Linked DNA regions of Rattus norvegicus. The protein of the gene in region 3 purifies or fractionates together with the protein of the main gene of each other region. This does not show direct contact. Links are inferred from orthologs where the notes say so. Each region holds a gene or a part of one and is shown on either strand. Other genes may lie near its edges. The genes, in order: Lsm2, Tut1, Sart3, Lsm8 and Ppih.

Region 1 (4,642 bases), on a different chromosome or scaffold from region 3:
ACACAAGGGATCTGTTCTTCCCTTACCCAGCTCACCTCCTGGTATCTAAGCTGTCCATGTTCCTTGAGAATGAGGAAAGGAGAGCTCACAGAGAACATGCATTTTCTTTTTTTAAAGATTTATTTATTATATATGAGTACACTGTAGCTGTCTTCACACACACCAGAAGAGTGCATCGGATCACATTACAGATGGTTGTGAGCCACCGTGTGGTTGCCGGGAATTGAACTCAAGACCTCTGGAAGAGCAGTCAGCTCTCTTAAACGCTGAGCCACCTCTCCAGCCCATGGACGTGCATTTTCTGTTTGTGAGTCCATTGTGAGTGTTTAACTTGATAAGGGCAAAGTACTTGAATTTGTGTAAGTTGAGCATATCCAACAATTTTTTTTTTGGTTTTGAGGCAGGTCTGCCTCAAATGTCTTTCGTTCATGCTGCCTACATGACTGGAATTACAGAACGTTACACCTGCCAGGAAAAATATTTTCTAATTCTCAGGCACCCTGAGCCCATAGGAAGCAGCTGCTAAATGTACTGACTGCTTCTAACCAGTGACAGCCTCTTTTAGATTCAGGTGTTAAAGTTTCTGTTGAAACTCGGTAACATCTTGCTTGGTAATCATGATGGATCCAGCTCTGAACACAGTGATGTGCACAGGTGGAGTGGGGTAGGTAGGACAGAGAGGGAAGACACATCTTAGGGTCTTGCTGGCAAGTCAGTCTAGCTGAATGAACCTGTCCATTCCAGGATCAGTGGCAGATCCTGTCTCAGAAAATGAGATGGCTAAGTCGTTAAGGACATATGTTGCTCTTCGGCAGGACCAGGGTTTGATTCCCAGCACCCGTATGGTGGCTAACAACTATAACTCCAGAGGATCCAACACACTCTTTTAGTGTCTGGGAACACTGCACATGTGGTACACAGATATACGTGCAAGGAAAAACTCACACATATAAAATTTTAAAATATTAAGTAAGTGGAAAGAACAGCCAGCATTCATCTCTGGCCTACACAGGCAGGCATGCTCCAAGCTTCACCCAGACCCCCAGGAAACCGACTTTTTTGGTATCATGCAATCAGCAGGCCTAGTCTCTCAGAATTCTCACCTGTGTACCATGACTGCCTTGCACCAACAGCCAGCCTCGAGAAGACAAAATAGCAAGTGTTTTCCTATTTATCCAGACATGATATCTACAGAAGCTATAACCTAGCAACTTCCCATTTAATTACTAGTAAAAATAATACGGCTGGAGAGATGGCTCAGCGGTTAAGAGCACTGACTGCTCTTCCAGAGGTCCTGTGTTCAAATCCCAGAAACCACACGGTGGCTCACAACCATCTGTAATGGGATCTGATGCCCTCTCCTGGTGTGTCAGAAGACAGCTACAATGTACTTATATATAATAACTCAATCTTTTTTAAAAGAATATGCAAGTCATAATTTTCTCAATCTTCCCAATAATTCTCAGTAGAAAGCGTAGAGTATGAGCAAGTCACCCGGCACAGAGAAGAATCTAAAAAATTATCAGGGAGGCGAACTACATCCAACGCGCAGCTGCTATGGCCCACGCACGCGCTCGGGAGGGAGGAGTTCCTTGGGAGGAAGTGGGAGACAGGAAGTCCCGCCCTCCTCCCGGTTTGGCGGTCCTCTCTGCTCTGCCCTACTCCGCTCCCTTTGAGCCCAGATTCAGCCGCGGTTTTCGCGGTTCCCCTTGCGCCTGCGTGATCCTGTCCTGCCTCACGCGCGGGCTCGTGCTCCGGCTCCCGCCCTGCCTCCGGCCCGCAGTCCCCGGCGCCTTCCTTCGCGGTCCAGGCCGCCCCTCGTGGCGCCAGCACCATGGTGGGTACCGTGACGTCAAAAGGGAGCGCCGCCGCCCGCGGCGGGCGGTTCGAACTGTTCGGGTCTTGGTTGCGCTCTAGTGTTTGTTGCCTTGGGCTGTAGCTAAGCCCTAGGGTTTTCCTTACAACCTCAGGGCCCACACCCTGTGTGAGGAGACTGCTTGGAACCAATGGTTTTTTTGGGGAAACTTCCAGCAAGTCCAAGAGAAAGCCCACGGGCGCCGGGGGAGAACGGAAAGCTAGTCTTGCATTTCCGTGCTGGAGATCAGGATTTTGTGAGGGTGCGGTTGGGAAGCGGTCTCGAGCAGGGAGGTGGTCGATTCGGAGAGTGGGTTCTGGCATCGAGGGGTGCAGCGCAGTTATTGTCTCTCTGTGGCCCCAGGAATTGCAGTCTCTGTTAACGGATTGTTGATGGTGGTGAAATTTTGAGAACTACTAGGTGGGGCCAAAAGGACTGGTATTTCAAATGCCGTCACGGGTTCCTCCTCCCTGTCCCTTTTCATGTGATAGTTCCTCCCTCTTTTCCAATAGCTCTTCTACTCCTTTTTCAAGTCCCTTGTGGGCAAGGATGTAGTCGTGGAACTCAAGAATGATCTGAGGTAGGTCTTTATTTCAGCGAGTTGGTGGAAGGTGGGAGGTGCCTGGTGTCCTGATCGTTTTCGTGGTTGTTGTTCACAAAGCTATTTTAGAGCAGAGGGGCAAAACACAGAAGAAATATCTTGTGTCTTGAGTGTAAAGATTAGTTTAAGAGTGAGCCTGGTGCTGTGGCACATGCGTGTAATCCCAACGCTGATGCAGAATTGTGAATTCAAGGACAGTTTGGTCTACATATGTCCAGGGCCAGCCAGAGTTACACAGTGAGATACAGTTAAGTAACATGTATGTGCAGTCCTGGATGTCCCGGAACACACAGATCCGCCTGCCTCTGTCTCCTGAGTGCTAGGATTTGCCCTGCTGTATCATTTGCTCTTAACCATTCAGGAGTGGATTAAATGCTGTATCACTGGAAAGATGTTTATGGCTTCTTGTCACATCATCCATTAGAGTCTACTTTCTTTTTTTGTTTGTTTGTTTGTTTATTATACATAAGTACATTGTAGCTGACTTCAGAAACACCAAAAGAGGGCATCAGATCTCATTATAGTTGGTTGTGAGCCACCATGTGGTTGCTGGGATTGAACTCTGGACCTCTGGAAGAGCAGTCAGTGCTCTTAACCATTGAGCCATCTCTCCAGCCCCTAGAGTCTACTTACTTTCTTTCTTTCTTTCTTTCTTTCTTTCTTTCTTTCTTTCTTTCTTTTTTCTTTTCTTTTGTTCGGGGCTGGGTACTGAACCCAGGGCCTTGCGCTTGCTAGGCAAGCGCTCTACCACTGAGCTAAATCCCTAATTCTAGAGTCTACTTTCTTAATAGTGCTTAGAAAATTATAGGTGTCACTGATGTCTATTTTTTTTTTCATGTACTGGATGGGCATGCTCAACAGGTGAACTTCATTTCCAGCCCTCGTGTTTCTTTTTAAAATCCTTTTATTTGTAGACTCTTGAAACCTTTGAGCACAGGTCAGTGCTTGAGAGCCTTGATTCTAAGACAGAACGTGGTGTTGACAAGCAGGATGGTTATGGCCAGTGTGGGCAAGTGAGAGGCTGGCCCAGGCCGGGGTGGAGAGTAGCTAAGACTTTTTCTAGTCTAAAAGTCAGACCACACAAGTGTTCTTCCACAGAGCAGTGGGGGTTCGTAGAATGTAGAGAGTGAAGAAGTAAAATGCAGGATCTGGGGTTGTTAATTAAAATTTTAATTCCTCTGCACCTCCGTGCAGTGGGTAAATATAAGATGGGTAACATGGTGTGGGAGCAGTGGCTTTGATAACTGTACTCAGGACTAGAGGGTGGGGGAGTGTAGCATTAATAATAGTTAATTTCAGCTGCCATGTATATGTAGGTCTCTGGCTCCAAAGCATAAATGTTTACAAGTAACAGCTATTGGAGCTGCAGAGATGGCTTGGTGCTTTAAAAAGAGCTTGCTGCTCTTCCAGAGAAATAGAGTTCAGTTCCCGGCAGCTACATTAGGTGATTGACAACAGTTTGTTGGGCTGAATACAACTCCTTAGAACTCTGGCTTCAATGGATCTGATGCCCTCTTCTGGTCTCTGTGGGTAACTACATGCACATACACACAAATAGTAAAAATCAGTATTTAAAAATAATGGATGTTTCTGGGAGTCGTGCAGATCAGGGCTGACATTCCAGTTCATTTGTGTAAGTTTTGGTACCTTACATGACCTCTCATAAGTCCTGGATGATACTACTTTGAAAGGTGATTAGCTGAGTGGTTGATGGCTGTTCATCCCTTAAACCTTTAAACCTAGCCCTCAGGAGGCAGGGGCAAGGGCAGGGGCAGGGGGGAGTTTGAAGCCTGCCTTATCTACAGAGCTAGTTCTAGAACCCCACAGGGAAACCCAGTGGGCAATGGCCATGAGTAGTGCTCCTAGCTGTAGTTCTAGAACTTCAGAAGTGGAGGTAGGAATGCCAGAAGTTGGAGGCCAGCCTGGGCCAAGTGAGAACCTGTCTTAAAGTGGAAATACTAATATTAAATGGAGCATAGGCCCGGCCTGACTACGAGCTTCTGATGTGTTGGTGTGAGGACAGACTGAGTCTGAGGTGCTTTATCATTTCCACCTCAGAACTTACAGGGGCTGCCTGCTGGCTTCAGGGCCTAGAGTTCCTCCCCCCTTGTCACTGTAGTTCTGATTTTCCCTCTGCTGATTCCAGCATAAATGAATGCTTCTCTCCTCTTTGCTCCCACAGCATC
Region 2 (4,545 bases), on a different chromosome or scaffold from region 3:
TCTTCCCGAGGTCCTGAATTCAAATCCCAGCATCTACATGGTGGCTCTCAATCATCTGTAATGGGATCTGATGCCCTCTTCTGGTGTGTCTGAAGACAGCTACAGTGTACTTATATATAATAAATAAATCTTTAAAAACAAAACAAACAAACAAAAAAATAGTTGGTGCTCTTTCGAGGGACTGGAATTCAGTTCCCAACACTCATATCAAACAGTAGTTTGCAACCACCTGTAACTCCCGCTCCATACAGTCCAACGTCCTCTTCTGGCATACACATACACATGGCCACATACTGACACCCCCACACAAATATTAAAATAATAATTCATGTCAGGGTAAAGTGCTTTCCTCCAAACCTGACCCTGATTTCAATCCCCTGAACACTAATATGACAACAGAATCCCAAACGTTGTTCTCGGACCCCCATATTTACACCATTGACCATGCATGTGCACACATATTTTAAAAGAATACATGTTAGGCTCAAAATGCAGCTCACTGATAGAGTTGTGTGCATAAAACCTTGGAATTTTTTTAAGCCTTAGCACCAAAACATAATTAAAAAAAAAAAGAAAGGGTTGGGGACTTAGCTCAGTGGTAGAGCATTTGCCTAGCAAGCGTAAGGCCCTGGGTTCGGTCCCCAGCTCCAAAAAATAGAAAAGAAAAGAAAAGAAAAAAAAAAAAAAAAAAGAAAGAAAAACCTACCTGCTATTGCTAATATAAAACACACATACTCTAATAATAAGCCCTGTCTTCAAGAAACTTACTACCTAGGATTATATAATATTATATAATATATATGTGTGTGTGTGTGTGTGTGTGTGTGTGTGTGTATAGGTGTGTGTATATATTATATATATGAGCAGGAGCAAGGCAAATATGGCTGATTGTGGGTAAAATACAAGTTCATTTATGTCATCTGTTTCTATAAAGAGGCACTCTGCAAATAAGGACTGTAGTGTCAGCATAAAGACATTCAGATGAAGAAACTGATACCACTGAGAGGGCAAATGCCTTTAATTCCAGGACCAAGGAGGCAGAGCAGGTGAATCTCTGAATTCAAGGCCAGCCTGGTCTAGATAGCAAGTTCCCAGCCAGCCAGTTACATGGCAAAACCCATAGTTGCATGGTAAGTGCCCTGATACATACATACATACATACATACATACATACATACATACATGTTTGGTAAACAAGCTCCCCATAATTAATACTCGTGAATGAACATCCAAAGAGTGGAGATGTCAGAAGCTCACAAAACTGAAGCTACTCAATGTTCTGAAATGTCTACCAAGGACAAGCCAAAACGGACTGCTGGTTTCTCTCTGCATATGAAGCAAACCTGTCTGACACATTAATCCCAGAGCCATTCACTCTACCTTGTCCTTGTCCATAACAATATTGGCCACAGGGCCAAATGTCTGGAAGTATTCAGAGAGCTGAGCAGAGCCTACATCCCTGGGAAAGCCACTGACAAACACACTTCGAAGTCCCTGGGCCTTTCTGGTAGCTCGTAGTTGTACCAGATCCCGGTGCTTCCGGCCTTTCAAGTGGGCATCTAGGCTGGGTCCTGCAGAGACAATTGTCAGATATAAACATATAAAGTATCTCTTCCTGTACCTGTTCTCTTGCTCTGCTCCCTACATATGGAAATCTTCTGTTCCTTCAAAGACTGACAAAGGGTGATACTGGAACAGAGTTGTAACGCCTTCCACACTTGATATTCTTTCCCTTTTTCTACACTGCGTTCTGAAAGTGGTCTCAGTGAGAAAGGGCTAGAGTGCAGGTAGTTCTTAAGCTATCGATAAGCATTAAGTTGAGCGACATCTGTACATTGTAGAAATAACAAGTACCTTGTCCAAGGCCAAATATAGAAGAACTAAATAAATTAGGGTCCTGAATAATTCTCAGGAATAAAAAGTAGGTATTCCAAATGTATGGTTTTTCTCAGATATATGTTAGAAATGGTAATACCTAACACATAGGCATCATTCACATACAGCCTTCTGCTAAGTGTAGAAAATTAGCTATTAGTATTATTTTATCAGTCAGCTCCTTGATGCCATGGAAGTATGTAATGTGAACAAAGAAGGCTCCTAAGTTGCTGGCTTGCTCTAATGAGCAGAGTTGTTTGGGGTGATGAGGAGAGTGATTCACAAAGAAAACACCAGAAGGTCCTGTTTAGGGGAGATCACAATTACAGACATAAAAAGTAGGATCTGATGTGTCACTGAGCTGCTTACAATGTCACAGAATGATCTAGTCCACCTTCCAAACCTCGTTCCTCACTGGCATCTCCGGCACTCATTCAGGCCATGCTGTTTCACTCATCTCACTTCTGGAGAAATCTTCCACTAGGGAGTCTCCGATTTAATTACTGCTTTCTGTGATACCTCAGTTCTGTAAACATAACCTGGTGTACTGAAACTACCTCAGGCCAGGCAATGAGTTCCTAAATCCCCTTCCTACTCCGGAGACCAGCAAAGTACCAGAAACAGAAAAGGGATGACCAGTAGATGATTTTAAAGGGAATAATGAAACTTTCATTTTGGAGATTCTCCATAGTGGGAACGACAGGTCATATTTCCCCCACTCTCCGGTACCCTGGGATATGCTGAGTGAAAATAGGTGTTTGACCCTAACGCCAGCAAAAAAACAATAACAAACAAACCTAAATAACCCTAACTTTCACTAGCACCCGCCCCCCTCACTAGCCACCGCTTACGGTTGGCTGTAGTAACATCGCAGAGGCAGCAGCGAAAGCGGCCACGCGGCAGCGATACAACATCCGAATCCACCGCCGCCATAGCCACTCTCCGGTAGGGACCGCCTACAACCTATTCCGCAAGCACCGGAACACACAAGTAAAAATTGTAACGTGCTGGGAAGTAACTTCCGTCAATGCAGTAGGAAGTGACGTTATGTCCTACGCTACCCTATTCCTCCAGAAACCTCGTTCTTAGGGTTGAGAGTTCCTGCTCTAAAACTCTTCCAGGAAAAGCCGCCCCTCGACTTTGCTTATTGGCCTACAATTAGTGCTTCGTTTCACTCCAGCGTTGATTGGCCCGAAGAATCGTGAATATTCATTAAGCAACCACAAAGGCGCGCTTGCTTCTTGACAGCAGAGGTCCTCCTTTGCCAAGTGTTGGCGGGCGATCTGTACCTTCTTTTCACACAACTGCCCCCTCAATCTCTTATTTTACCCTGCTAATAGAAGCAGAGGGTGGGTGTTTCCAACCCTTTGCCTTGTGGAGCTCAGGGACTCTCACATCCTCAGGTCAGTTGCTTTCTCTGAAGCCGGATCCTTCTGCAAGACAAATGTTCTCCGCGCTGTCTGTCCCTGTCCCTCCCACCCCCATCAGCTGGATTCAATGAGGACAACCACAGATGGCTACGACCTCAGTCTGCCAGTTTCTTGCACAGATGTAGTTTGAATGAAGTATATTAACGAGGCCCATTTCAAGGCAGTACAATGAAGAACAGAATACAGTGACAAGAGAGAAACACATTCAAGGAGGTGGAGCGGGAAGTGTAGCAGATCTCCAATCGGAATGAGTCTTGTAGGTTCAAAAGCAGAAGAAAGTACGAAAGCTGAACACACAGGGATCGTAATGAAATGGAAGGGCTGTCAGGTGAGCTCAGCACCTTGTGCTGCGATTATCAGTCGCACAGTAGACCTTAGGCAGAAAACCAGTCTGCGACCTTGGTTGAATCACCAATGAGGCCTTGTGTCCCTCCTTATTGGACCCTGCTCAAGCATCTGATCCTTGTGTCAAACCAAAAGAGCAGACCAAACCAAAAAACGTAGAGACTACTGTACACTTAATGGCAGGGGCAGTTACTAAGGTTGGTCGTGCTAACCCTGAGGCAGCAGTCTATATACATACATACACCACTGAGCTTGAATTGCAGTCTTGCAGTACCACACCTAAACCACTAAGGTAGAATGCATCTGTTTTGTTTGCTTTCAAGAGTCTCTCCCTTTGTAGACTGGACGAGCCTCAGAACTCAGGGATCTGCCTTTGTCTGCCTCCCCATTGCTGAAATTAAAGGTGTGTGCCGACACCACCAGCACCTAGTGGGGTACATCTTACCCTGGTTGCTAGCATTTCCTAGAATGCCAAAATGAAAGAAAAGGCAAGGCTGAGGGAGTAGGTGGCTCAATAGTAGAGCCCTTGCCTAGCACACACCAGACCCTGGGATCAACTCCCCAGCATCAAAAGGGAGAAGTGGGTAACAGGAAGACATTCTCACACCTTTCTGTGGAGACTCAGAGCCATTAGAGAGCTTTGAATGAATCCAGATCAAGATACTGCTTGCACTCCAGCCCCAATGGGAGAAGCTTTAGTCCCACAAGAAGGCTAGCTGGCACAGACTACCTCCAGTCCCACTGCTTATCTCGTAAAGCTGTTCCTAGAACAAGCACCATCTGTACCTCTTTCAATGTCCTTTGTCCTCTATTTCCCCTCAAAGATACCCCCAACACACACACACACTCTCACAACACACACACTCTCTCACACACACACACACACACTCTCTCT
Region 3 (4,339 bases):
GGGGGGGGGGGGTGTTCAGGAAAGGATGGACTCTGGCCTACGTATGCACACGTACACACAGAAACCCTTCCAAACAGTTCAAGTGATGAGCGAGTGTACACTCTGTTCTATCCTAGGCTCAGGCCATCATTAATGACATAAAAGGCTTAAAGAGGAGACTCAGGCAAAGCTACCTGGTCAAGACAGAGCACAAAGGATGCCACACACACAAGAAAGGCACAGCAGAGAGGGTACGGCTGGCCAATAGTGCAGAAGCCTTCACTTAACATGCATTATGCACCCAAATGGGCCACACTTACGGATGGGCCAATGTGAAAGTGCACATGACGTATACTGCCAATGCGAGAAGTGTGCACCACTGCACAGCCTGAACACATTTCCTCTTTAAGGGCAGGGAGAGCCAGTCTATCCCCCAGTTTCTGCTGAGTCAATGCAGTGAACCCCTGGGCATGGTAGCTAAAGGCTCCTAACTCTGCATGTGAGAGGCTGAGGCTAAGGCAGAAGATTGAGCCAGCCTAGGCTAGAGAGTGAGCGCCAGGTTAGCCTGAGCTACAAAGTCCTCTTGGAGCTGAAGAGATGGCTCAGCAACTGCAAACAAGCCCTACACTGTAACTTGGATCCTGGGGACCGCGATGAGGACGGAGAGGACTGACTCCTATAAACTGTCCTCTGACATGGCACAGGCGCACCTGTGTGAGCACCAAACAGAAGCCTGCATTCTAAAAGACAATAGCGCCTCTCAAAACAAAAGGATTCAGAACACTTAGTACTAAAAAGTAGGAATGATAACCACCTGCTCCAAAAGGCCTCTAATAATTAGACAAAGGGACAAGTGGGGCAAGCTAGAGCAACATTCTGTAACTGGAAAAGAATCAGTGCTATAAATGCAGGCCAATGCAATTATTGGTTAGAGGTTAGCCGATTGGCCTGTGTTACTCACCACAAATCACTGAGGGACCGCACCTCCAGGGGGGTATCTGGACCACAGATGACCATAAGAGATCAAGGCCCACTTGTGTGAATTCAGCCGAGTCAGATCCTACCATTTGCTGAGCCTCGTTTCCTCACGAGAACAGGCTTCATCTTTTTGGTCCCACTCCTCCATATCTTCTCCTTGTCCCATGAACAACTGGGGTGCACTAGATTTTGGTCTTCTGGCACAATGGTTTACAGCTGGGTTTGCCCAACAGGAGGCACTAGCAGAAGCATGGGGGGTGGGGGGAGACAGTATCAGGTCTCAGGTGCTACCTCCATGAATTTAAGGCTTTCCAAGTAACATAAGGCTCCCTTCACCCCTTCAGACCTAAGATAGACACCGAGTCCTGCTGTGACTGGCTACGGGAACAAAACTTGCATCCCTGGTTCCCCTGCCCACATTTATAAACAGTGACTATTCATGCATCTTTGCTCAAATTACTCTAACTTGACTTTATCACCTACCCCTGCTAGCACACTGGATTGTAAAGGAGCTATCGCCAATGACAGATCAGGGACCATTTTACTGCTAGGGACCGGGCAACTACGGCAACTTCACTAGGCAGGTGTCATGGGTTATCATAATTATGATAATCCCATTTTACAGGAGCTGTTGCTCCTAATTTACATCAGAAGCTGTTAAGAAAACAAAAAACAAAAAACAACAACAACAACAACAACAAAAAAAAAACTTGAGGACACATGAGTAGAAGAGCTATTACACAATCCCAGAAGGATTCTGGCTCAGCGATGAGGACCACTGGTTGCTCTTCCAGAAAACCCAGGTTTGAGTCCCAGCAACCCCAGAGCGGCTGACAACAGTCTGGTAATTACAGGTCCTGGAGACCTGATGCTTTCTTCTGGTCTCAGCTCACACACTCATGCAGGCAAAACACTCATACACATAAGATAAGAGGGAGTTAGTGGCTCCTGCCTAGCAGGGACGACAGAGGGAGGCAGACCTCTGTGAGCTCCAGGCCAACCCGGTCTACATAACGACTTCCAAGTCAGCCAAAGCTACATACTGAAATCCTGCCTCAAACCCCGCCCCCACCAAAACAAAAAACAAAAAAACAAACAAAACAAAACAAAAAAAAAAAAAAAAAAACGGGCTTCAGATCAAAAGCCTCAACCTCTGCGCTTCTACTACAGTCGCGGTCTATTTTCCGTTCTACACCACATTTGACCATTATTACTATCCCTAAAGGAAAATAAGTTCTCCTCCGACTGTCAGACGGCTAAACCTTATCTGGTTAAGAGTGGCAGTCCCGGGCTGGAGAGATGGATCAGCAGGTAAAGTCGTTTGCCGCCACACCTGATGACCAGAGTTCAATCCCCGGAACCCACATGGTTATGAGACAACCGCGTCCGGGCATGCATACAAACACAAGTTTAAAAATACAAAAAGGATAAGAGCCCTGATTGGGTTCAGCCTGAAAAGATAAACACTTTCAGCTGAGTGTCACCTTGGGCAGGAGCCTCAGTTTCCCAGTGAAACCGGATTAACACTACTTCCCCAACCATGAAGAGGATCCAATGGAATACTTTACGGAAGTTCTGGGCACCCACTGAGCTCGGGAACCGGGGACCCACGGTGGCTGACAGCGCCCTGGAGACCTCAGCGGTCTCCATAACCACGGAGGACCGAGGGGGCGGGCCGGGCCTGGGGACCCGAGGGAAGAGAACCCGCCGCCCACCCCGGCCCACCTGCTCCTCCAGCCGCTCGATCTCCAACTGGTTCTTCTCCTCCTCCTCGTCGTACTCCCACTCGTCCTCCCCGGCGGAGCTCTCGGCGGAGGAAGCCATGGCGGCGTCCTCCTCATCCCCATCGCTCTCGCTCACACCTTCCTGGTGCACCTCCCGCTCAGGGCCCTTGGCTTTGGCTGTCTCCGCGCTGGACAGCACCTTCCTGCCCACACCCGCCGGCTTCGCCTCATCCTCCTCTCCCTCAGCCTCAGGCCGGGCCTGGGGCTCAACCTCCGGCTCGGACGCCGAGGATGCAGTCGCCGTCGCCATCTTGCGCAGCCCGCGATTCTCGGGTCCTCCCTCGCCCGCCGAAGCCCGGCGAACATTAGGCTGTCCGTGGCGTCTGCCTGACCAAAACTCCGCTCGGCGCCAGCGGAAGTGGCACGAAGGGCCTCAGGGCGGAGGAAGCCGTGAAGACTCCACCACTGATATTATCCTTAGGCGTCTCTGGACGCCACTGTCAGGAAGAAAGGCTCACTAGCATAACCTGCGTCGGGCTACGACCTTGGACAGCTTTTGGGTCTTGGGACCGGAAGTGGCAGCCATACCGGCAGTTGTGTGTGCGTGATGGCCATAGTTAAGGTCCAGACGCCATCTTAGGAAGGTCAAAGTCATTTTTTTTTTTTTTTTTTTTTTTTTTTTTTTTTGGACTAAAGGATTTCTGCAAGGCTCAGCCCGCTCCAGTGCGTTGTTGTTTCGCAGCAACCGGCCCTCAGGTGCGGACAAAATTCCAGTTCCTCCGCGATACAATGCACCATTCACGAGAAAAGCCTATCTCTCAGTATAAAGCTCCCTCCCCTTTCTAGCACCTAGTATCTAACAGGTGTTAGACGCATCGATTTTGTGACTATATAGCCAATGCTAACACATTACAGTAAGTATCGTCTCGGGATGCAGTGGATTGTAAAACAAACATGTACATGTCGAGGAGGTATGGTGTTTGTTTCTTTTATACTCCTCGTTGTTGAGGTAGAAAAAAAAAAAAAGAACACTGCTGTTTTCCTCTGCACTGCCTTTCTCCTTCATCAGCAAGGTTAACGAGACAGGAATTGCTTTCCTCGGGACTCCCAGGAATTTTTTTTTTTTAGTGACACCTAGTGTACACTTGACATGTTATTTGCTCCGTAGATGAAACGGCTGCCTTTGAATTAGAAAAAAAAAAGCCTGAACCTGAACAGAGACTCATGCAAGCTCGAATCCCAAATAAGCCTGAGTCTGAGCATCCTCGGGCAAGTCAGGCCCGGCTTCCCACTTCTGGGCGGCCCCACGCCCATCGCAGCACCAGACAAACGTGACCGCAGCTTCAGACCTTCCCGCTCTGCGCCGCGTCCACGCCCCTTCCGGAGGCGTGACCAAAGAGACCGGCCGAAACGCGTGCACGCGCTTGGAGCGGAGAGCGCAAGCGCCAAGCAGCGGTGACGTCATACAAGCGCGCCCTCCCTTCGGCGTCGCAGAGGTCGACGCAGGTGCAAGCCGGCAAGATGGCGGCGGCTGGAGCGGGCCGTCTGAGGCGGGCGGCGTCCGCGCTGCTGCTCCGGAGCCCGCGCCTGCCCGCCCGGGAGTTGTCGGCTCCTGCCAGGCTCTACCACAAGAAGGTATGGGCGGGCGAGGGGGTACG
Region 4 (4,270 bases), on a different chromosome or scaffold from region 3:
AGCTCAGAGGCTGATTACAAAGTAAGTCCTCTACTTTGTTGTAAACAATGTTATGACAAACTAGTTAACACTTATAGTTAATATTTCATCTCCTTACTGCCAACACTGTGTCCTGTGTATATGTCTAACTGAATTCTATCAATACTATAGTAGATATATTAGAACTGAAATAATCAGAAACTTAAGTTGAAGAAAACAAGCAGGAAAAACTGTATGGATTTAGAAAAAGAAAGTATCATAGATGCTCTTCAAGTTTCTGAAGAAATAGCTTATTTTCAATTTAGCTGGTTAATCTCTTGGGTCTACCATTAAATTCTCATGTTACAAAAGCTATAATTATATAGAATCAGAATAAAATAAATAGAAACCTGGAGTCTAGAAACTGGAAAGAAAAACACGTTAGACTATTTACTATAGCAGTTAGTAAATGGTGGTTATCATAAACCCCCCCCCAAATCCTCTCACCTTCATTTTACACAAAACTATTTTATCAGACAACTTTGTGATAAAGATAGGAACTAATCAATGTCAATGCTTTTGTTCAGCTTTTCTTCTATAAACATTTTGTAACAGAAACAAGAAATTAAAACTAAAGGCTTTAAAAATCAACTATTTTCAAATTAGCTTTTAACATTAATAGACTTCCTAAGTGCCCATAGTTTACAAATATATAGACTATGATCTGACCACCACCACCCCCTCATAACAAACTACAAACAAAAAATCCTACATATTTGTTTCCTTTATTAAGAACAAGCAAAGGAAGTAACCTTGGTTTTGGAATTAAACACAATTTATGACACTATACAGTTCTGTCACTTGTCATACTGACTCTCTGGGAAAGTGACTTATTTTGTCTAAGCTAGATTCCTAATAACAAAAGTGGCAATTCTTCACAAGGCTGTAATGCAAACTAATTGATATACAAAATCCTTAACACATGATATGCATTTAGTCTATGTCATTTTGACTGGTATTGCTCATGGAAGAGAAGAGTCAAAAGGATGAAGAAGAAAATTAAGGAGCTGGAGAGATGGCTCGGTGGTTAAAAGTCCAAGTTCTTCCTAGCACCCACACACTGTGGCTCACTCTAGGTCTTGTGGTCTCCTTGTGTAGTGTATCCTCACACATATGGCAGACGCTCATAAACACACACACACACATGAGCAAAAACAAAATTAAATCTTTAAGAAAAAAAAACCAGAATGGAATAACATGGGATTAATTTACAGTCATGCAAGAAATATTTCAATCAGAAATGGTAGGTCGGCCAATGGTACCGAAGATTGTGCCACCAGTGAAGTCATAAATTTAAGTTTCCAAAACCACTTACTATATTCGGAAAAATGATGAAATCACTGAAAGCACATTTCCTCATCGATAAAGAACCAATTAGGGCACACACATGTAAACTGTTTAAGGTCTCTAAGTTAAAACAAACGAAACGGAATAGAAGGATGCAAGAAGAAAACAAATCAGTTTATCACACAGCTCTACCTTTCAGCTCAGGTCTTCAGGGTTGGCCAGAGAAGTTGGACAGGCAGCCAAGAGATGAAGTTAAATAGCTGAATCATAAGAACACCGGAATATTGGTACGCTGTGGTGTCTGAACATTGGGCCAGAAATGTTACCTCAAATGTACAAGCAATAAGCCTCAGGAAAGAGGAAAACGAAAATGTCACTCACCACGATCATTCTGCCATCAGAAGTTATTACTGCAACAGTTCCTGAGAACTGAGTCAAGGAAAGTATTTCCTAAATACAAACTGAAAACTTTTAGCCTAGAAAGGGAATGGTTCCAACTACTTAAAAAAGAGAAAGAATTAAGATTCAACAGAGTCACTGCTCGGAGGAATAAAACGTAAGTTTTTAAACTTGTTTCAACTGTACCTTGAAAACAGTTAATTAAACGATAGAGGGTATAGAATGTGACTGTTTGCCTCTGGTTTAAACAGCAATGTTTCCAACCTATGACACTGAGCAGGTTAGACTCACTTCTTAACCTTTAGAATAAAATTTAGATGGGAGCTAATCAATGTTGGATCTCTTTATGCATGGTAAGGCCCTTCTCATCCAATTAATGCCATCAAGTACCAATAATCCTTGCATCATTAAAACCTCTCTGTATTTAACTAGGGTTTCCTCTTTGAGCATATGCTAGGTGCAATGTTTTTGCCCTGACTTCAGAACAGCAATTCTATCTTAAAATCTCTGGGCTTTTTAAAAGCCATTCGTCACTCTCCAAACACCATCACAATACGATTTATTTTTATTCTACCGCATAGACATTTCAAGCGGAGGCATGGGACCCGAAATGCACATCTGAGGAGCATCTTCCTGTTCATGCTATCCCCGAACAAACAAGACTGTTAGGATCTACGAACTGGGAGTCCTTAGGACAACAGTTCACCTTAGTCCCAATGTTGGAACATATACAATCAACAGGCTACGTGCAGGAAAACTCTAACTACACCGAGATCTGTGCTGTGGGTGGAAAAAGCCACGGGTCCATCCGGGAGCTCCCTCCACGAATCCCGACCCCCGGTCCTCCACCCACTGCTCACTGCCCACCACTCCGGGCCCCCGTGTTCCCTCCCGCCCCCGCCGCGGCCTGAGCCGTCGCAGCGGCCCGCCCGAGGATACGGTTGATGTAGTTCTCCAAGGCAGACGTCATGCTGCTGGGCCCGGAGGTTCCGGGAATCTGAGAGGAATCAGCAACAAGGAGACAAAACACCGCCCGCTAGAAACACGTACAGATTCGCGCCCGCTGGCGAACGCAAATATCGCGAGACTCTGAGGCCTCAGCGGTGACGAATCAGTAAGAGAAAGGAGTCGGACAAACAGGAAACGGGGCGGTGCTGACTAGTGGGCATGCGCAGCGTGTTTCCGCTGGGCTTCCGGGTGGCGATCGGAAGGGGAGACAAAGGCGGGGACAGGCGGAAGTGTAGAGTTGTCACCGAAGGCGGACTGGAAGGAGACACTGGAGGGTTCTACCGGACGGGAAGGCACTGTGGTAGTTACTAAAGGTAGTGCGGAAAGACTCTTTCTGCCGGAAGACACACGAGATGAAGATGTTTCCATTGGCTAGAGTAGGAGAGAGATTCTTTGTTCTCATAGGCAATGTAGATGCAGGGTGCAAGGAGCTCTAGATTTCTCCAGCATGAGCCAAAAAAGTTTAAAAAGCCAAATAGCCCAGTACAAAGGGAGCATTTTGTAGCTCCACGATGTACATTTTCGGAGAAAACAACTGTATGAAAATATTTGTGTATTCTGAATTTGGCTCTTCGTGTCCTTAAACGAGCTTTTTTAAAAAACGAAAGCCAAATAGCTGAAGGTGCAGGAGCCTGCCTTAAGAAATGGATTTCATCGAAGTCTCGGGACTTAGCTTTCCTCAGGGTGAAGTTCAATAAATAAAGGCTACAGCCCCACTGTGAAGGGACTAATTGGAGAAAAGTGTAAACTAAGCACCGGGTTTGATTCTGATTCTGTCCCTCATTGCTGTCACTATTTTATGTCACTTCAACTCTGGACTTGAGTTTACTTAGTTCCTACTACAGAACTATTATTTTTCACATGTCTTGGTAAAAATAGGACTGACATTCTCCCTCATGCCTCGTGTGTGTGTGTGTGTGTGTGTGTGTGTGTGTGTGTGTGTGTGTGTGTGTGCAACTCACACTATGCAAGTCTTCCAAAGTCCTGTACCAATAAGTTATACCTCCAACCTCCCCCTACCCTGTCTGCTCCAATAATGTTTTATTTATTTATTTAATGGTGCTTTCACTTCAAAACTGGTTGTTAGGAATCTGCACAACTAATTATGGAAAAAAGCAATATTTCTTTTTGTTGTGGGTTTTAAAATCTTTCTTAGCTGAAGAATTATGGCTTTGGAGTGATTGAACTAGCTGTGCTTTGCTTTTAGTTAGAGACAGTGACAGTAATTACATCATCAAACTGTTGGGGAGCTAAAAGAATTCCTTTAAAGCTTGCCATACAAATTATACCTATTATAATTCAAGAAAATAGACTGCATCATAAAAAAAAAAGTTTTGTCACCCCGAAGCTTATTCTAACATTGTGTGTATTGTTATATTTTCTAATGGGACTAAAGGAATGGCACACATTTTAAGTGCTTTAAGAAAGGATGAGATGGCATGTGTAAAAGTATTGGGAAGCTTTGTTTTGAAGATAAGATTTAAATTAGAGCTTGAGGAAAAAGTAAATACACTTCAGGGAAATGGACCGGAACTAAAGCTAATCTATCATGAGTCTC
Region 5 (4,459 bases), on a different chromosome or scaffold from region 3:
TGCTTCATTGGGAGGCCACACAGACAAGAATGTGTGGGCAGCACAGATTGGTCTTGATGAGCTGTAGAAAGGAGACCACCTTTTCTCTAGGGGTTGGAAGTCAGAACAGAACACCAAGGTGGATAGATTGGGCAGTCGAGTGGACTGGAAGGAAGTTCTCAAAGATGTAATAGAAAATTCAAATCAAAATTCATGTATTAGTGGGGTGTGATGGAGCAAGCCTGTAATTACAGTTATTTGGGAGGTGGAGGCAGGACAATCAGGAGTTCAAGGTTATCTGCTGGCCTATCAAGTTTGAGGGTAAACTGACCCTGATATAACATGAAATGCTATCTCAAAAGTTCCCAAACACCGAGAGCTATTCTCCCAGAGGACCCAGTGTCAATTCCCTACATCCATCTGTCTCAACTGTCTGTCATTCAAGTTCTGTCAATCTAGGGGATCTGACACCCTCTTATAGCCTCCAGGGGCACCAGACGGACAAACATAACACCACTACACATAAAAAAAATTTTTTAAGTCCCCAAATAAACACATACTTGAATAAGGACAATAAGAGATTAACTGGAAAGTGAAATTACTAGCACAAAGGTTTTAAAACCTGAAACTTTCTATATCAAATGAGCTAAAAGCTTGTGACAGAAATGAGTCTAGAAACCTATCCCATGGGCAAATACCAATCCCTGACACTATTAATGATACTACTCTATTATGCTTGCAGGCAGGAGCTTAGCATGGCTGTTCTCTGAGAGACACTCTACCCAGCAGCTGACTCAGAAGGATGCAGAGAACCATGGCCAAACATTGGATGGAGCTTGGGGACTCTTAAGGAAGAGTTGGGGGAAGTGTTGAGGGCCTCTGAGGGGATAGGAACTCCACAGGAAAACTAACGGTCAACTAACATTGATCTTTTGGGGCTCTCAGAGACGGAACCACCAGCCAAAGAACATACACAGGATGGACCTAGACACACACGCACACGCACACAGTGCAGATGTGCAGCTCAGTCTTCATGTGAGTCCAGAATAACTGGAGTAGAGGCTATCCCAAAAGATGCCTGGCTGTTTCTTCTAGCTGGGCTGCCTTGTCTGGACTCAGTGGGAGAGAGTGGGCCTAACCTACAGAGACTTGATGGGGGTGGGGGATAACCAGAGGAGATCTCTACCCTCTCAGAAGAAAAGGTAAAGAGGGAATGGGGGAGAAATTGTAGGAGGGGGTAACCAGGAGAGGGGGCAGCGATCTCGGGGTGTAAAGTGAATCGATTAAAAAATAAAAACATTTTACAATCATAAAAAAGAATGAAATTACATTTCCAGCATCGCGACTTCGTCAACCCTACATAACATACCATTTTAAAATATGGAATGTGACCCAGAGGGTCCTCCTCTCATGGGCTGTAACAGAGGACACCAAGTGTGACTGCTCGGGAAAAGCTGTCTGCAAAAGATTCATTTGTATTACGCTAATACAGTCAAGAGAGTGGAGAAGCCCATAGACTTTGATAAAGACGCCTGCGCTCCTTCCCGCAGCTCGGACCAACTCAGCTAAAATTCCCTCAGTACCTGCCACACTTCCGGGGCGGGGCGCAACCGCGGACTGTTTCCACTGCGTCTGCGTTTCCGATGAAGTTCGCGGGACCTGTCACCGGAAGTTAGGCTTCTACTTCCGAGTCAAAGCCATGGCGGTGGCAAATTCAAGTCCCGTCAATCCAGTGGTCTTCTTTGATGTCAGTATTGGCGGCCAGGTGAGATGCGGGCGGCCCAGCGGGCCTGTGCGGGCTGACTGGACTCGGGTAAAGGAGGCAGCCGAGGGGGCCCTTCTAGCCCTCCCGAGATAGGCTGGGTCAGGCGGTGGAGGTGGGAGCTTCCGAGCTGCATGGACAGCGGTCGTGGGCTGAGTATTGCATCTCCCGTTTCTTGCAGGAAGTTGGTCGCATGAAGATCGAGCTCTTTGCAGACGTGGTGCCTAAGACGGCAGAGAACTTTAGGTAAAGATATGTATGCTCCAAGTGAACCAGAGCTGAGCCCTCGGTTCAGTCTTTGCCTTGTCTGCCTCTGTTCATTTATTCATTGCCTTAGAGTAGTGCTCTGGGTATTGCACTGGCCAAATAGCTACCGACTTTGACCGATCCCATATCAACTTAAATCACTAGTCTACGTGCCCTGACATCTGCCCGATCAGTTAGTTAGTGGGCATGCTGGCCCCAGTGTTTGAACTCTCCTCTCCAGAGATTAGAGGTGCTCCAAGCAGTGATGGTACGGCGGCTGAATCGTTCACTGTTTCTTTCTTGATTTCTTTCTTTTTAGGCAGTTCTGCACTGGAGAATTCAGGTCAGTCTCAGATGTGTTTGACTTCTCCACCAACTCCTGAAGGGTGACCTGGACGTTTGGTGAGGGTATTGGAGAACCATGAACAGGTCTCTAGTAATGAAAGATGATATGCAGAGAGAAGATGACTCCTTGGATGTGTTCTTTATCTCTTCTCCCATCCAGATCTTAGTGAGAGTCCTCTTAGCCTCTCGTGCATCCTAAATGGGGAAGACCCACGTTTATTTTTCATCATTCCTAGTGTCTTCCTTTGTGTTTACAGAAAAGACGGCGTTCCGATAGGATACAAAGGAAGCACCTTCCACAGGTAAGGAAGGCTTTTGGCAAACTGGAAATGCAGTCATCTCTTGGTATCTGTACAGGCAGTCCTGTACACCTGAATCCAAAACCTGTGGAGGATTAAGTCTGTTGTTTAAATGGCATGTTCAGGGCTGAGGCTGTAGCTTGGTAGAGAATTTGCCCAGCATTCATAAGACCCTGGATTCGGTACTCAGCACCATGTAGTCTGTGCACAGTGCCTTAAGTCATGCCTGACTTTATGTCATATTGATTGTAGAAACAGTGCCAGGGAAAGCACTCTGTACCTACTCAGTACCTGTTCAGTACAGGAGCATGTCCACATGTTCCTAGAGATCTAAACTCAGATCCTTAGGCTGCACAGCAAGCACTTTACCCGCTGAACCCTCCCTGGTTCTGGGTTATGACTTAGCAGAGACTTTGCGGTAACCACTGTTACCAGGCAGTCGTCTGTAGGAACCTGACCTTCACGATCTCCTGGCTTTCTATGTTTACTTATGAGTTTGACAGAAGTTGCTCCATTTTAATCCTGAAAATGTCCATTGTCTCCCATATCAAGGGTTTTAGAGCTGCAGTCTGTAATCCTCCCCTGGCATTCTTGTGAGGTGTTATGATGTGTTTTCTGAATTCTGCAAGGTAGGGAAAAGAGGCTAAGCAAAGCTAAGGACCTGGGTACACTAGCTGACATCATCCTCGAGTTTCAGTGTGTGCAGCAGTCCATTCACGTTGTGTTCTCTTTCCCCAAAGTGAGGTGGTTTTTTGATGATGTTGTTTTGTTTTCCTTTGGTGACTGTAGGTGTGTCTCTGCCAGGTTTTCAGTTCCTTTCTGTTGTTGAGGTGCTGACTCATACACCTGAGGGCAACTTAAAAGGGGCCCCTGAGTTAAAACTGTTAATCCCTCAGCTGGCTCACCCCAGGGACAAAGACTTTCTCTAAGCCTCAGTGATAAACACTGAACTCCAGAAGACATGCTAATCTACCACTTCAGTGGCTGAACCACTGAATCTTCCCTCAGGATTTTTTTTAACTCTCTTTCAGGGTCATAAAGGATTTCATGATTCAGGGTGGAGATTTTGTTAATGTAAGTACTGCTTTTTTTCTTTGTTAATTTTTTTCCAGCAAGGCCCAGTCTTGAGATTTAAGAATAATAGCTAAGGGACGGAGAGATGGTCTAGCAGTTAAGAGTACTGACTGCTCTTCCACAGGTCCGGAGTTCAAATCTCAGCAACCACATGGTGGCTCACAACCCTCTGTAATGGGATCTGACGCCCTCTGTCAGTCACTATCTTGTTGCCTCATGACAAGGTTGCACTAGATGAAAAGCTGCTTGGTTCAGCTAGGACAGCTGGCTGGCTGGCTCCCCTTACCTGTGGACCATTCTCCCCGGCCTTATCATCTGGTTTCCAGGGTGCCCAACACTCCAGGCCACTGATGTGTCTCTTCTCTACTCAGGGCGATGGTACTGGAGTCGCCAGTATTTACCGGGGTCCATTTGCAGATGAAAATTTTAAACTTAGACACTCGGCTCCAGGCCTGCTTTCCATGGTAAGTGAGGTTCAGTTAAGATTTGGGGTTAGATTAGATTACTGACTGGTTTCTGGTGCCTTGACACCCAGTTCTGTCCCTTGGAATTAGGCCTCACCTGCACCTAGCCCCTCCTCCTTCCTCAGTGTGGTTTGATCTTGTTGGGTGGGCTTTCACAGCTGTAGAAAGCAGACTAAGCTCTGACTTGTGTTGTGCCTTTATATGTACCAAGACTGGGCTTTTGCCTCAGTGTTCAATGGGCTTCCACGGTTGGTGCTCACCTGTTGTTGCCCTGGTTGCCGTGAGTCACT

Evidence for each region.
Region 1: the proteins of Sart3 (region 3) and Lsm2 purify together in Homo sapiens (affinity purification with mass spectrometry; 3 studies listed by BioGRID and IntAct, counting the BioPlex papers as one, with this or other methods). This does not show direct contact. The link is inferred for Rattus norvegicus from reciprocal best matches to the Homo sapiens genes SART3 and LSM2.
Region 2: the proteins of Sart3 (region 3) and Tut1 purify together in Homo sapiens (co-immunoprecipitation; 4 studies listed by BioGRID and IntAct, counting the BioPlex papers as one, with this or other methods). This does not show direct contact. The link is inferred for Rattus norvegicus from reciprocal best matches to the Homo sapiens genes SART3 and TUT1.
Region 4: the proteins of Sart3 (region 3) and Lsm8 purify together in Homo sapiens (affinity purification with mass spectrometry; 4 studies listed by BioGRID and IntAct, counting the BioPlex papers as one, with this or other methods). This does not show direct contact. The link is inferred for Rattus norvegicus from reciprocal best matches to the Homo sapiens genes SART3 and LSM8.
Region 5: the proteins of Sart3 (region 3) and Ppih purify together in Homo sapiens (affinity purification with mass spectrometry; 3 studies listed by BioGRID and IntAct, with this or other methods). This does not show direct contact. The link is inferred for Rattus norvegicus from reciprocal best matches to the Homo sapiens genes SART3 and PPIH.

Annotation. Positions count from the first base shown.
Region 1 is NC_086038.1:3,848,858-3,853,499, reverse strand, and holds the start of Lsm2 (U6 snRNA-associated Sm-like protein LSm2), read left to right. Parts: upstream 1-1,834; coding exon 1,835-1,837; intron 1,838-2,006; coding exon of another isoform or gene 2,007-2,117; intron 2,118-2,367; coding exon 2,368-2,435; intron 2,436-4,638; coding exon 4,639-4,642. UniProt on the Homo sapiens protein: Plays a role in pre-mRNA splicing as component of the U4/U6-U5 tri-snRNP complex that is involved in spliceosome assembly, and as component of the precatalytic spliceosome (spliceosome B complex).
Region 2 is NC_086019.1:215,276,161-215,280,705, reverse strand, and holds the start of Tut1 (speckle targeted PIP5K1A-regulated poly(A) polymerase), read right to left. Parts: upstream 2,821-4,545; 5' UTR 2,809-2,820; coding exon 2,727-2,808; intron 2,721-2,726; exon of another isoform or gene 2,245-2,720; intron 2,225-2,244; exon of another isoform or gene 1,622-2,224; intron 1,572-1,621; coding exon 1,381-1,571; intron 1-1,380. UniProt on the Homo sapiens protein: Poly(A) polymerase that creates the 3'-poly(A) tail of specific pre-mRNAs. Localizes to nuclear speckles together with PIP5K1A and mediates polyadenylation of a select set of mRNAs, such as HMOX1.
Region 3 is NC_086030.1:48,518,519-48,522,857, reverse strand, and holds the start of Sart3 (squamous cell carcinoma antigen recognized by T-cells 3), read right to left. Parts: upstream 3,006-4,339; 5' UTR 2,992-3,005; coding exon 2,683-2,991; intron 1,197-2,682; exon of another isoform or gene 941-1,196; intron 1-940. Other genes in the region: iron-sulfur cluster assembly enzyme ISCU, read left to right, coding at 4,203-4,316. UniProt on the Homo sapiens protein: U6 snRNP-binding protein that functions as a recycling factor of the splicing machinery. Promotes the initial reassembly of U4 and U6 snRNPs following their ejection from the spliceosome during its maturation.
Region 4 is NC_086022.1:48,270,675-48,274,944, reverse strand, and holds the start of Lsm8 (LSM8 homolog, U6 small nuclear RNA associated), read right to left. Parts: upstream 2,818-4,270; 5' UTR 2,675-2,817; coding exon 2,644-2,674; intron 1,728-2,643; coding exon 1,687-1,727; intron 1-1,686. UniProt on the Homo sapiens protein: Plays a role in pre-mRNA splicing as component of the U4/U6-U5 tri-snRNP complex that is involved in spliceosome assembly, and as component of the precatalytic spliceosome (spliceosome B complex).
Region 5 is NC_086023.1:138,206,776-138,211,234, reverse strand, and holds the start of Ppih (peptidyl-prolyl cis-trans isomerase H), read left to right. Parts: upstream 1-1,654; 5' UTR 1,655-1,678; coding exon 1,679-1,744; intron 1,745-1,922; coding exon 1,923-1,987; intron 1,988-2,306; coding exon 2,307-2,330; intron 2,331-2,589; coding exon 2,590-2,634; intron 2,635-3,662; coding exon 3,663-3,705; intron 3,706-4,076; coding exon 4,077-4,169; intron 4,170-4,459. UniProt on the Homo sapiens protein: PPIase that catalyzes the cis-trans isomerization of proline imidic peptide bonds in oligopeptides and may therefore assist protein folding. Participates in pre-mRNA splicing.